2 linked regions of the Arabidopsis thaliana genome follow. The protein of the gene in region 2 interacts with the protein of the main gene of each other region in a pairwise test. Each region holds a gene or a part of one and is shown on either strand. Other genes may lie near its edges.

Evidence for each region.
Region 1: the proteins of AT2G35155 (region 2) and WRKY17 interact in a two-hybrid assay, tested with the Arabidopsis thaliana proteins (one large-scale study listed by BioGRID).

What each region holds. Positions count from the first base shown.
Region 1 is NC_003071.7:10,435,717-10,442,781, reverse strand, and holds WRKY17 (WRKY DNA-binding protein 17), read left to right. Parts: upstream 1-3,312; 5' UTR 3,313-3,559; coding exon 3,560-4,218; intron 4,219-4,709; coding exon 4,710-4,838; intron 4,839-4,928; coding exon 4,929-5,106; 3' UTR 5,107-5,429; downstream 5,430-7,065.
Region 2 is NC_003071.7:14,815,756-14,823,619, reverse strand, and holds AT2G35155 (Trypsin family protein), read left to right. Parts: upstream 1-1,597; 5' UTR 1,598-1,909; exon of another isoform or gene 1,910-2,071; intron 2,072-2,236; 5' UTR 2,237-2,289; coding exon 2,290-2,793; intron 2,794-2,888; coding exon 2,889-3,032; intron 3,033-3,107; coding exon 3,108-3,348; intron 3,349-3,475; coding exon 3,476-3,976; intron 3,977-4,061; coding exon 4,062-4,411; 3' UTR 4,412-4,654; downstream 4,655-7,864. Other genes in the region: SUVH5 (SU(VAR)3-9 homolog 5), read right to left, coding at 1-58; EXL7 (EXORDIUM like 7), read left to right, coding at 5,429-6,400; AT2G35140 (DCD (Development and Cell Death) domain protein), read right to left, coding at 6,812-7,864.

The DNA of each region.
Region 1 (7,065 bases), 4.4 Mb from region 2:
TTTTTGAACCATTTTGATTTCCCCTATATCTAGAACTCAAGACATACAACTTATATCATACAATCTAAAAATACAATTAAATTCTCTATTACGATTTTATACTAAAACATCAACCAAAGTAACCATAATTTTTTATGAATAAAAATATTCTATGCAACAAAAAAATTGTTTTACAGCAAATGCTTTATAGTAATCAAGAGGTGGAATTCGAAATCTGAGATAGCACTTTGTAACCTAAGATAAAAATTAGTGTTACGGGTTTGAAGTCAATAGTAAAAACATCTTTCGTAAGATCATATTCTTGGCGTTCGTATAGTGGTGAGACTGTTTCGTACACTTTTGTTAATAACTCCTATGAATCTCCAAGGCAGAATGGAGGAATTTCACAAAAAGAAAAATCTCAATATCATTTCTGATGAAATTGATGGTCAGACAAATAAAAACAAATTTCCGACCGGTAAAAAATTTAATTCTCTAACTTTTAAATTTTTTTAAACGTAATCGAAAATTCTTTAAAAAAATATTAAGTTAATTTTTTTATTTTAAAAATATAATCTGAGTTTATTAAAAAATTAATCATTATCTCATAGATATTAATACATTTACCAATAATTTATCTCGTGGAGGTTACATTGACTTCTACAAACTATTCAAATCGATAACTCTAATTCGCTAAGTAATCCCCAAATCTTTTCTCAGTATCTTTGGCATAAATAAAGCCAAATCTTCTCGAGTGAATAGCAATAATTATACATCATGGCTTATATATTGTATTTTTCTGATAACAAATGTGCATTATTTCTATCATCCACTAACTAATAATTAAAAATTCAATATTGACCGTACTATTATAAAAAAAAAAAACAATGGTTGGAAGTTTGAAATACGTAAACAACAAAAAAACAAAAAAAAATAAAACTTCGTTCGTTAGTACCGTATGAATTCATAGATACAACATATACAAAATAAGTATTTTACCCAACATGTGTCTTCTTTCACTGGTTTGATCTCATTCGTTTTGCATGGGCTAACAAAACAATTATTTCAAATACGCGAAGATTATTATTTCTATGCGACCATTTTATAGAAAAGATAATTTAGATAAGATATAAAGGAGACATTTTTAGAGGAGATAACATTGAAATATATAGTATAATATATTTTTAGAGATTCATAAATTATAAATTTAGAAAAGGACATTAAAATTTGATATAGAAAAGGAATTTAAAAGTAAGTAAAAGTTTACAAAATCAGAAATGAAAAAATAAAATGCTTTTAAAAAAAATGTAGACGTGCACGACAATCATATATATTAGTCGGTTAGGTCAACGATTCCCATGTCGCTAATTTATAATGCATTCCGTTGACAAATATTTAAAAATGTTTCAATTATACATCTTGAGGTCTGTTTTTGCACACATAACACGTCATATATCATTGACAAAGAAAACACGTCGTAATTTTCTTTTTCTTTTTCTTTCATGTAGTCTTCTTGGCTTAAAAGAATTCAGCTAAGTAAGTATGGTTGATATTTTCTTCTACAAGTGATAAAACTTTGGAATTTTTGAATAAGTATAATTACAAGAAAACACTGCATATAACAACTACAAGAAAACACTGCATATACCAAAATTATCGAAACATGTATATTCCGACAAACTGAAATCACCGGAAAACGGTGGTGTATTGAAACAAAGAGTTGTTTTAACTGAAGTTTGAAAGTAAACAAAAGATTAAAAAGTAATTTATAGTAATGTTAATATTTACTCATGTTTCTGCTTTGGTGATTAGTAATAAATCTTCTAAAATCTATATGCCATTTTATAAATGCGATTAAAAATTTACCAATTAAACCTTATTTAGAAAAATGTAGAGAAAACTTCAAATTATCTCCTCAAGTAGGATTAGATCGAGCTGCAAATTGGCTCTTTTTATTCATTTAATTTCCTCCATTCCTAACTGTATTGGTATTGTTTACTTTATTTCTATAAGCAACAAAAAAAAAAGAATCTTGTGGACAGGTGACAATTTATGAGTCAGCCAGAATTGCCACGTGTCGGAAGATCAGTTGCCGTGGTAAAAGGTGTTTTTTAGATTCTCAAAAAAAAAGTAGTTAAAGAGAATAATATCAAAGAGTCAACTCCACAGTTCACAGATCCACCGTTGGATCTAACTTTTGGATTATCAACGGCCCAGATAATAGTTAACCGGAATCACTCGGTTACCGAGGTAGTCAATAGTTCTGTGTTTTAAAAAGAAATGCGTCCATGTGATCACTTTTATTTTATTTGTAGTCAGCTTTTGTTTTCCTACTTTGTCGTTTTTCTTTATCGCTGTTCTCAACTAAAGACTTGTAGACTATACTAATAAGATATAGTCAACGATTGTCGCTGTTATTATAGCCTTTAATCTCTATTAATGATTGTTAATTGTTCCACAATCTGTGTAGATTAATTAGGTAAAATTAAAAGTCAAGAAAAGATTGTTTTCAATTTACTAGTTTTCCAGTCAAGACGTTTTCTAGAAGGCTATGAGGTAAGAAAAAAAAAATATATATTAGGTGCAAAGTTAATATGGGAGTCAAATATTATTTTCAAATAATTATTATTGTCAATGCACTGCAAAATTAGTAATAATTCTAGAAAGAAATTGAAATAATAAAAATATGCTGCAAACACGAGTTTGGTATGTGTGCACCATATAATATTGACAAGTTGTAGTGTTGGTTGAAGCTAAAAATAACACAAAAACATAAAAAGAACATGAATAACGCCTAAAACTTAACACGAATAAAATAAAAAAACATAAAATATATTATCAAAAGTCAAAATCACAAAAGAAATTAATACCATTTTACAATTAGCTGAAAATTTATTCTATCAAAATCCAGTCCTATTAAAGAAAAATATGTGATTTGAGATGAAATTAATATTACATATTTTGATTTGGTTCAAGAATAAATTATGGATTTTGGTTAAAGACCTTCTAATATTCCAAAGAAACAAAAAAAAATCAGCCCAATTGTTCATACAAATAAAAACAATTCATTACCTTTAATTTTAAATTTATTGACTTGAACTTGAAGACATAAGATACCTAATAAAAGAAAAAATAGATATGAGACTTTAAAAAAGCTTTATGATTTTCTTTAGACACCATCCTTTAATGTTTTTTATTTGACTTTTTGTTTCTTTGAAATTCCTTTACCACCATTTTCCCCAAATTCAAGTTTACGCACAATGATTCCTTTATTTTAAAGACACGATTATAAATTCTTGCTTTGCACAAAAGAAGACCCTACATATCTCACAACTCAAGGAGACCAAACTTTGATTACTTTATTCCATAGAAATCTTCAACTCAATCTCAGCCGTTAGATCTAAAGCACCGATTTGACTAAACTCCATCTTAAACCTACTCAACCGGTCACTCGGTCACACCCATAACCCCATATATCACGCCAACGCCATTCTTTTTTCTTCCAGTTTCGCTCTCTCATTCATCAAAAAAAACTTGCACATCTTCTCAGATCTTCAAGTTTCTCCTCTGGTTTCTCATCATGACCGTTGATATTATGCGTTTACCTAAGATGGAAGATCAAACGGCTATACAAGAAGCTGCATCACAAGGCTTAAAAAGCATGGAACACTTGATTCGTGTCCTCTCTAACCGTCCCGAAGAACGTAACGTTGATTGCTCTGAGATCACTGATTTCACAGTTTCTAAGTTCAAGAAAGTTATCTCTCTTCTTAACCGTTCCGGTCACGCCCGGTTTAGACGTGGTCCGGTTCATTCCCCTCCTTCCTCCTCCGTTCCTCCACCGGTGAAAGTGACAACTCCGGCTCCCACTCAGATCTCTGCTCCAGCACCGGTTAGCTTCGTTCAGGCAAATCAACAAAGCGTGACGTTAGATTTCACTAGACCGAGCGTTTTTGGCGCTAAAACCAAGAGCTCGGAGGTTGTTGAGTTTGCTAAAGAGAGCTTTAGCGTATCTTCTAACTCTTCTTTCATGTCTTCTGCGATCACCGGTGATGGAAGTGTCTCTAAAGGCTCTTCGATCTTTCTTGCTCCGGCTCCAGCGGTGCCAGTGACTTCCTCCGGGAAACCGCCGCTTTCTGGTCTTCCTTACAGGAAGAGATGCTTTGAACATGACCACTCTGAAGGCTTTTCCGGCAAGATCTCTGGCTCCGGCAACGGCAAGTGCCATTGCAAGAAAAGGTATTGTTATTACTCCACAATAAATTAATCATTTGTTTGACTAGCCTAGTAGTAGTTAATTGTTTGGTTCGATACGGTCTAAACCAATCGCTCACGGACTCAGTGAAAATATATCACGAATTCAGATTTCAAAATTCTTTTTTTGCCTCGAATTTGTCAATCATGAACAAGTCTACTAGTTAAATTAACTAGTCTCAGTAAAAAATAAAGAATAAAAATCCGGGTTTAATACTTTGTAGACCGGTTTGGTACTATCTAAACCAATCGGTCAATGTATTTAGTGAAAGTCAACGACAGTAACTTAAACCAAAGTGCACGCCTGACAAGGACAAGTTAGTGGGTGCTGTCGTTTTGTATAGGGAAAGTTTTTACGTTTTAAAAGTCTTTGTCTGCCCGTTGACTTTTGCTAACCTGATGCATGTTCACGTTAGTCGTGTCAGCGCACGTTAAATCATTTCACTAATTACAATGTTTTATTATTTAATTAACAGCCGAAAAAATCGGATGAAGAGAACCGTGAGAGTACCGGCGGTAAGTGCAAAGATCGCCGATATACCACCAGACGAATATTCATGGAGAAAGTATGGACAAAAACCGATCAAAGGCTCACCACATCCACGGTAACTATCGTACACCATCGCTATCCACCGTTGATTTATTTGTGAAACATTGGAGATCTAACGGTTGTGATTTGTTTTTGTTGATTTCAGGGGTTATTACAAGTGTAGTACATTTAGAGGATGTCCAGCGAGGAAACACGTGGAAAGAGCTTTGGATGATTCAACGATGTTGATTGTGACGTACGAAGGAGAGCACCGTCATCACCAGTCCACGATGCAGGAGCATGTAACTCCTAGCGTGAGTGGTTTGGTGTTTGGTTCGGCTTGAAGAATTAATTAGTTTGGTAGTTTTGTAATATTTTGAGAAATAGAGGGGTTGGTTTTGTAATTTTTTTTCTATAACAAAATTAGTTTTAGATTTTTTTTTAGTAGTCTTTTGAATGGATTTTAATCTTACTACCGAGAAAGAAAAAATTCTTACTACATTTTCATAATTTCTTGTTTGATATATTTAGTGGTGTCATGTAAGAAAATGATGTTTAGCAAAGTAATTGGTATATAAATGTGTAGGCATATGTATTTAATGATATGGTTCGTAAAGTTACCATTACTCTGTTTGATCTAGTTATGATTTGTGATGGTTGATTTAGGGGAAAAATGTCATTTAATCCCCCAACTTTCAAAAAATGGCCATTTTATACATCAATTTCATATGTGGCCGTTTAAAACATGAACTAAACGTTGACTAATTTTTAAAACATGATCTTTCGTTGACCAGGCCAAAATAGACATGCCGTTATCAGTCATTAACGGAACTTCTAACGTCCGTTATCATTCGTTAACTTTATTAGTCAAGTTTCAAATTGTGGCCATTTTAAACATCAACTTCTTATGTGGCTATTTAAAACATGAATTAAACGTTGAATACCATTTAAAACATGAAAAATTCGTTGACCAGGCCAAAATAGACATGTCTTTATCAGTAGAACCTAGAAACCCGTTAATGACTGTTAATCTGTCCAAAATAACGTCGTTCAAGAATAATCGAAAGAACATAAAGATTTTTTCCATATGAAATCTCCATATCAAAAAGTTTTAAGCAGAACCCAAGAACATAGTTTGATAAAGAGATAATCGCAGTGCCAGTAATTGGAAGCAAATAAAGGTGTTTTCGTTTATATATTTGTTTTAAATTTTAAAAGGAATCATGGAAGCAAATTGAAGACTCATTATAAGATTGTTCGTCTTGTTTGAGCGGTTGTAAAAATAGATTTGGGGAAGTAGGGTTTCATTTAGAAAACAATCCTGATTTTCTTTTGATTACTCTCAAAACAAAGTCGTTTTAGGGATACTAATAGAGTCGTTAACAAGTGATAATGAATGTTATAAGTTCTTTTAATGAATGATGACAACATGTTTATTTTGGCTTGGTCAACGAATTTCTCATGTTTTAAATGGTAATCAACGCTTAGTTCATGTTTAAAATGGCCACATATAAAGTCGATGTTTAAAATGACCACAATTTATAACTTGACTAATAAAGTTGTTAACGGATGATAACGGACGTTAGAAGTTCCGTTAATGACTGATAATGGCATGTCTTTTTTGGCCTGGTCAACGAATAATCATGTTTTAAAAGTTAGTCAACTTTTAGTTCATGTTTTAAACGGCCGCATACGAAATTGATGTATAAAATGGCCATTTTTTAAAAGTTAGGGGATTAATTGACATTTTTCCCGTTGATTTAATGGAGGGTTAGACTTTTGGAATGGGGTTGTTAATGCAATGTTTGACTATTATGTAAGTTTATAGAAAGTCAAAAAGAGATTTCAATGAGTTGTTGGGAGATATTAGATGTGGAGGTTGAACAATATGAATTAATGCGGATTTGAGGGTCAACGAAATCATTATGATGTTGGAAGACAAATAATTTTTGGAACAATATTAAGGAACATTTGCGCTATGGAACATAAGTTCTCACTAAAGGTATGACACATATTTGCATTTGTTTATGTGTATTTCAAAGTTTTGATTAATATGTCATACTTGGTCATAATTGAATACTTTTTGCAGTGTTTGTTTATGAGTATTTTGAAGTTTTGTTCTATTGGATGTTTTGGATATGATATTGCCCCTCCAGCTTCGGATCAGATTCCTTTTCAAATCGATTTTGTGCTTGTGGTTGTTACTAGAAATTAAGACGATTGAGATCTTCACATATCTAATGCTACTAGTGTTTATAAAGTGTTGTTACTTGGTTGATAATTTGTTGATTGTGGCTTAAAAA
Region 2 (7,864 bases):
TACCACCGCCATCACCACCGCGCAAGGAACTAAGTATTGATGACTCTGAATGTACCATGATGCCCAACGCCTACTCAATGTAATACAAGAATATGAACTAAAAACACCATCCTAGTAAGTTACAACAAAGCATATTAATTAAAAAACACCATCCTAGATTCCTAGTAGTTACAAGAACGCGTATTGATTAGAAAAGATTGCAATCAATTAAATTGAATATCTTTGGCAATGCATGTTATGATGATCTAAGTTCATCATCACAATTAACCAACAAAAGAAGACATGCAGATCTTCAAAACCCATGATACAGTTTTGAGTAACATGTGAACGAATCAGTACGCATTAATCCATGAATCATAAGAAATCCTTATCCACATTTTCCAGAAACAGACTCCAAATCTCGAAATTATCAACTTTTAAAATTGTTAATCAATCGAGAGATGGAAGCGATTGATAAGATCAATTTCGAGTCTACAAGTAACAAAAAATAAAAGAATGAAGAATAGAGAAGAAGGGTACAAAGATTTACCAGAAATGAAGGAAGGAGTAGTGATAATGGCGGAGATGACGAGTCGATTGGCCGGAGCGGGAGATATGTGAGTCGCCTACTCAAATTGGGTTAATTTGGCATTGTCCTGCAAAACAAAACTAAACAATCAATTTTAATTAAATTCTGTTTTCTCTTTTCAAGGATTCAATTTTTAATAACTCAGTCAAATAAGTCACTCACATAATTCTTATGAACAGAGTCCTAGCATGCATCTTTGGCTCTGGCTCTATAACTTCTTCAATTCCTATTTTATACAAGTTCATCAAGATTAATTTATATTGATGATGATTTAGGGTTTTAGTGGATCTCTTTTTTTTTTTTTTTTGTTGATCAAAGCTTTTTTAGTGGATCTATGAATGTTTTTTTTTGGAAATATAATCTTTGAAAATATTATAAATCTAGAGATTTGGTAGTTTTATTAAGTAATATTTTTTGGAAAAGTAATATTTGAAAATATTCTAAAAATCTTCTATTCTTTTCTTTTAGAAGTTTCTAAATAATGATCTCCAGAATAATATAGGAAAACAAAAGTTTAAGTATATGTGATTCAATGTTGCATGATCTAGGGTTTTAATGAATACTATTTTTATTAAAAAACAACTTTTGAAAATATCATAAATCTTTAGATTTTTCTCCGGATTAATTTATGTTTGGTTTTCTCGACATTATTTCTAACATTATTTATTTTCTATCTTTTTAATCGTTTTGTTTGTTTTACGTTATCACCCGTTCGGCTTCTATATCAAAAAAGTTCGATATACTATTTTCTATTATAATCGTTTAACCTTAAATGAAGAACATATTACGCTAAAAATAAATCATAAAATCTGAATAAATCATAGTGAGTTGATGCATTTTTCATTCTATTTTTTCGTACTTATATTATATTAATTTAGTAATTTCTCATTTAACTAACAAATAAAATCCTTATTTTTGTCCTTTTCCATAATTTCTGTAATCAAAATCTAAAAAGAGATAAAATAATAAGATAAAAGCAAAAAGAACTTATAAAGTAGTAGAAGAAAAACAATTTAAAAAGAGATTTGTATTGGTTGACATTATAATGTGATAAATTAATTCATGCGTCGACAAAACAAAGAAAAAGGAAGATAATTCTCGCTCTACTGTATTCACAACCACCATCAACAGTAACTCCAGATTATTATGCAGCTCCTATTGCTCTTCTCTCTCTGGTCTTCTTCTTCTTCTTCCTCCTCCAGTTTTCTCTGCAATCCTCACTTTCTCTCTCTCCCCATCTCTCTAAATGCAGCTACTTCTCTTTCATCACTGCTGATTCTCCGTCTTAGCTCCCATTTCTCCATGAAGTTCTCGCAGCTACTCCGACGAATTGTGCTGTCGGTGAGTTTTTCGCGCCTTCGAGAATCTTCGCTGGATTATCTCAAAGTTGATTTCTTTAGGCTTCTTACATGATGTTAGATTCTGGGTTCGTTTATGTTTTCTTCCTTCTTTTGAGGCGTTGCGTATCATCTTGTTTTCCGATTGTAATTTGAAAATTTCAAGGTAATTCTATAGGTTACTTGACTTGTAGGGTTCATAAACGAAGTTTGGGATGATTTTTCTCTTATAAAGAATCAAAGATGCCATTTTTAAGTTTATATCATCAGTTCAAGTGTTGTAATTTAGGAAGCTGAAGTCTCTTCTATCTCTTGTTTTGCGTTGTGACAGAGGTGAAAAAGGTACGGTGGTGTTATCTTTAATAAGTAGCATTGTAAAAGGAGATGAATTTGGGAGCTTGGGGTCAGAGATTCATCCAAGCAGCAGCTTCTTCTGAATCGGAGGATTCTGCTTTGGATTTGGAGAGAAATCATCACTGCAATCACTTGAGTCTTCCATCATCTTCAAGTCCATCTCCTCTTCAGCCATTCACACTCAACATCCAACATGCTGAGAGCAATGCCCCTTACTTCTCCTGGCCTACGCTCAGCAGGCTTAACGACACTGTTGAAGACCGAGCTAACTACTTTGGTAATCTCCAGAAAGGGGTTTTACCAGAAACTGTTGGCAGGTTGCCATCAGGACAACAAGCCACTACTTTGCTTGAGCTCATGACCATCAGAGCGTTTCATAGTAAAATCCTGCGCCGCTTCAGCCTTGGTACTGCGGTTGGGTTTCGGATCAGCCGTGGTGTTCTAACGAATGTTCCAGCGATACTTGTCTTTGTTGCTAGGAAAGTCCATAGGCAATGGCTAAATCCAATGCAGTGCCTTCCTTCTGCCCTTGAGGTGGAGTTATCTTGTGTTCTATTCCCTTCTACACATAGCCTTTCAGAAATTTTATCGGAGCATATATGATAAGCGATGTGTTCATTTCATAATAGGGTCCTGGAGGGGTATGGTGCGATGTAGATGTTGTGGAATTCCAATACTACGGTGCTCCTGCTGCAACACCAAAGGAACAAGTTTATAATGAACTTGTAGATGGTTTGAGAGGAAGTGATCCCTGCATTGGCTCTGGTTCTCAGGTACATCGTTGTTTTTTCCTTCCATCTTCTGCAACCTATAAGCGTAAAGTCTCAGTTTTGTTTCATGTTGTGTAGGTTGCAAGCCAAGAAACATATGGAACCTTGGGAGCTATAGTGAAAAGCAGAACAGGTAACCACCAGGTTGGTTTCCTTACCAATCGGCATGTCGCAGTTGATTTGGATTATCCAAGCCAGAAAATGTTTCATCCTTTACCTCCAAGCCTTGGACCGGGTGTCTACCTCGGTGCAGTTGAGAGAGCAACATCGTTTATCACAGATGATCAGTGGTATGGCATATTTGCTGGCACAAATCCAGGTACTCCAGTTATAATTTCATAGCAAATCTCTGCATCTTTCTGTTCAGGAACTGGCATATTTGGACACTCTTGTTTCATACTGAGTACTGACTATACAGGGCATCTTTCATATCTATCCCAATGCAGAAACGTTTGTGAGAGCGGATGGTGCCTTTATTCCTTTTGCAGAAGATTTCAACACGAGCAATGTAACTACGTTGATAAAGGGCATTGGTGAGATAGGAGATGTGCACGTTATAGACTTGCAATCCCCAATTGATAGCCTTATTGGGAAACAAGTTGTCAAAGTTGGAAGAAGCTCTGGATATACCACCGGAACCATAATGGCTTATGCATTGGAATACAACGACGAGAAAGGGATCTGTTTCCTCACGGATTTTCTGGTCATTGGTGAAAACCAGCAAACTTTTGACCTTGAAGGTGACAGTGGAAGCCTAATACTCTTAACGGGTCCAAATGGTCAGAAGCCACGACCAGTTGGGATCATTTGGGGAGGAACAGCCAACCGAGGAAGACTTAAACTAATAGCCGGTCAAGAACCCGAGAACTGGACAAGCGGAGTTGATCTTGGTCGCCTTTTGGATCTCTTGGAGCTTGATCTCATCACATCCAACCATGAACTTGAAGGTTTTAGAACTCTTTTCCTAGCACTTGTATGACAATGGTTCCCAAGTTCTCATGACTTGTTCTTTTGACTTTTGTACACTTGCAGCAGCAGCAGCAGCACGAGAAGAAAGAAACACTTCGGTTACAGCCCTTGATTCAACCGTTAGCCAGTCATCCCCGCCTGACCCGGTTCCATCAGGAGACAAACAAGATGAGAGCTTTGAGCCATTTATTCCGCCTGAGTTCCATATAGAAGAAGCAATCAAACCAACACTTGAAGTTGAGGAACATATCTTCATTGCTCCTATATCGGTTAACGAGTCTACTTCCGCCATTAAAGGGCAAGAGATACCCAAATTGGATAATCTCATGGCTTTAAAGAACAGTTCCGAAGAAGAGGTTAACATATCGTTGCATCTAGGTGAGCCCAAACTAAAGAAGCCAAAGTTTTTTTAGCTGAACCAGGAAATTGATCTCTTATACCAGTTTCCGGGTTTAGATTGGTTTGATGGCGATTTGATTAAACCCCCGAAATTTTATGTCGTAGTTGTGCATAGTATTATTATTCTTTGCGGACAATAGACGTATCGGGACCAAGTTCTGTAGCAAAATTGTATAAGCTTAAGTTTGATGAAATTTAAAGGTAATCACTAAAACCCAAATGGGACAATAAACCGGTGAAGATTTAGAGTTTTTAATTTTGACTCATGAATCTGGAGAAAGAGCCCTCGTTAAAAGGAGTGAATCAATCCATAGGGGAAAAAGTTTTGTCTTTTTAAAAACTAAAGAACCAAACCTTAATAGAAGCAGCTCAATGTGTGACAACTTTCCACTGGCACTAAGATAAAGTGACTAGCGATGAGTGCAATTATTGAAATAGTAGATGGTAAATATTACATACAAGAGTAAAAATATCTTTATGTCAATGCTTAATTCAGTGTTTCTGGTTAACAAGAGAAACTTCTCTAACTTTCGTAATTGGGTCTTATAAAATTTTATGCAATTATGATTTTACCCTTTTACTACTTTTCATTAGCTTTCACGAATCTATTTTGACAAGAGAAATCATTAGAGGTAAACATGCTTTTTGGTCAAGGGCCTTAACAGTTCCACCAATCAAGCTCAAAAGTTGTACTTAACCGACATCTTCTGTGAAAACATATAATTACATGTACAAATCAAAACTACCTTATGAAATAAATAGAAATATTGCAGTTCATTTCTAATTTAACCTCTTCAACTTTTAAAACTATTTACATTTCTTTATGTCATTTCTAGTCATTTTGATGCAAATTGTACCATTTATGGATTATCTTCACAAATTTTTAAGTTGGTGAAAACTTTTTGGTGGGTAGTTAAAACTTGAAATAGAAATTTACTTTACCAAAATAAACTAATGAAAAGTAATCACTCCACTCCCTATAATAAGATTTCCAACGTTCCCACTAAGCAAATCATAAACCCACCGAGACGATGTCTCTCATCATCGTCTTCTTCTTCTTCTCACTCTTGCTCACATCCAATGGACAGTTCTTCGACGAGAGCAAGAACTATGAAGGCTCCTCCGATCTCGTTGACCTTCAATACCACTTGGGTCCGGTCATATCCTCGCCGGTGACGAGTCTCTACATCATTTGGTACGGCCGATGGAACCCAACTCACCAATCTATAATCCGAGACTTTCTCTACTCTGTCTCTGCACCGGCACCGGCTCAGTACCCGTCAGTATCCAACTGGTGGAAGACAGTGAGGCTATACAGAGACCAGACAGGTTCCAACATCACCGACACTCTTGTCTTATCCGGAGAGTTCCACGACTCAACGTACTCTCATGGATCTCATCTCACTCGCTTCTCTGTTCAGTCTGTGATCAGAACTGCCTTGACTTCCAAGTTACCACTAAACGCTGTAAACGGCTTGTACTTAGTCTTGACCTCGGATGATGTAGAGATGCAAGAGTTCTGCAGAGCGATTTGCGGGTTTCATTACTTCACTTTCCCAAGCGTTGTGGGTGCAACCGTACCGTATGCTTGGGTGGGCAACAGTGAGAGACAGTGTCCAGAAATGTGTGCGTACCCATTTGCACAGCCTAAGCCATTTCCGGGGAGCGGGTTTGTAGCCAGAGAGAAGATGAAACCGCCAAATGGAGAGGTAGGAATCGATGGGATGATCAGTGTGATAGCTCATGAGCTGGCAGAAGTGTCGAGTAACCCGATGTTAAACGGATGGTATGGAGGAGAGGACGCGACAGCACCGACAGAGATAGCGGATTTATGTTTGGGAGTGTATGGGTCAGGAGGAGGAGGAGGCTATATGGGAAGTGTGTATAAGGATAGGTGGAGGAATGTGTATAATGTGAAGGGCGTTAAAGGAAGAAAGTATCTAATTCAATGGGTTTGGGATCTTAATAGGAACAGATGCTTTGGACCAAACGCTATGAATTAGAGACTATCATGTTTGTTACCTCTTTTCACCAAAGCCTTGAGCTTGAAGCTTGGGGAAACCTGTATATGGTTTATCTTTTCCTTGCCTAGTCGATTCTATGCATTTGATTGTTTAAGACTACAAAATCTAGGTATTACTAGCTGTCAAGATTCACTTGACAAAGTTTCTGAACCAAACACATGCTTTGACATTAGCATAAAACTCCACAACTACCTCAAAACGGCTGTACTGCCAAAGTATGTAGGCATTGTTCTATGACAGTACTATATATAGTACAGTCAACATGATTAAGAAGACACTTACTCCACCAAAATGACACAACAGCTAGAGAACACCCTCACCTTCTATTGTAGAAGCATCCTTGAAGAGGCCTTGTTCTGTTCGTAAGTGTTTCCAACTCCAGTTGAGTGTTTATCGTTCATCACGTCCAAGGAAGTCATGGAAGGGGACTTCAGAAGCATACTCTAAGGCCAAGAAATTTTCAGCAGGATCATTATTGTTTCCTTTATTCTTTTCCGAGTCATCTTCATTACGTCCAAAGAAGTCACGGACGTGGACTTCAGTAGCTGACTGTGAGGCCAATAAATTTTCAACAGGATTATCATCCTTTTGCGAGTCACATTCATTACGTCCAAGGAAGTCATGGACGGGGACTTCAGTAGCTGACTGTGAGGCCAAGACAGTTTCAATAGGATTATCATTCCTACCTCTATCCATTTGCGAGTCGCCTTCATTACGTCCAAGGAAGTCATGGACATGGACTTTAGTAGGTGACTGTGAGGCCAAGACTTTTACAGTCAGATCATTGTTTCCTCTATCTTTTTCTGAGGCCAAGACAATTTTAATAGGACCAGCTTTGTTTTCTCTATCCTTTTCTGAGTCATCTTCAACGAGTTTTGGTCTCAGCAGCTTCCTTTTCTTGTTCGGAGAAGCTGAATGTTCGGGGTTGTCTTTACACCCTTGAGTTGGATTACCAAGGCTCCTTTGAGCTCTGCTACGGCGCTTAAAATCAATGAATGGTAGCTTTTGAACACTATGTTCCATACTTCCTTCACAATCCAACAGATCATCTGGAGTAGTCTCAGTAAAAGTAAGCATCAAATCATTGTCAAGTACCTCTGCTGTATGAATCTTTTCCTTTTTCTTCTTCGGTATTGCAACATCTTCAGAATTACTCATATTTGCTCTTTTTTGCTCCATCCAATCTTTGTGACAGTCATTTAAAAAGGCCATGACCTCATCTACTGATTCAGTGTCAGGAGACGTATCCCTTTCAGCATCAAGTTGTTTTAAACGCCCACCCAACCTATTAAAGACACTTGGTCTGGTTCTGTTTCTTTCAAGTTTAGCAGGACTAACACGATGAGTCACCCTATTGTTAGAGTCAAAAGCATCACCGCCAAATTCTTTATGCGGTTGATAAGCTTGAACTTCGTTATTGGCTCTGTTCTCTGGATACAAATC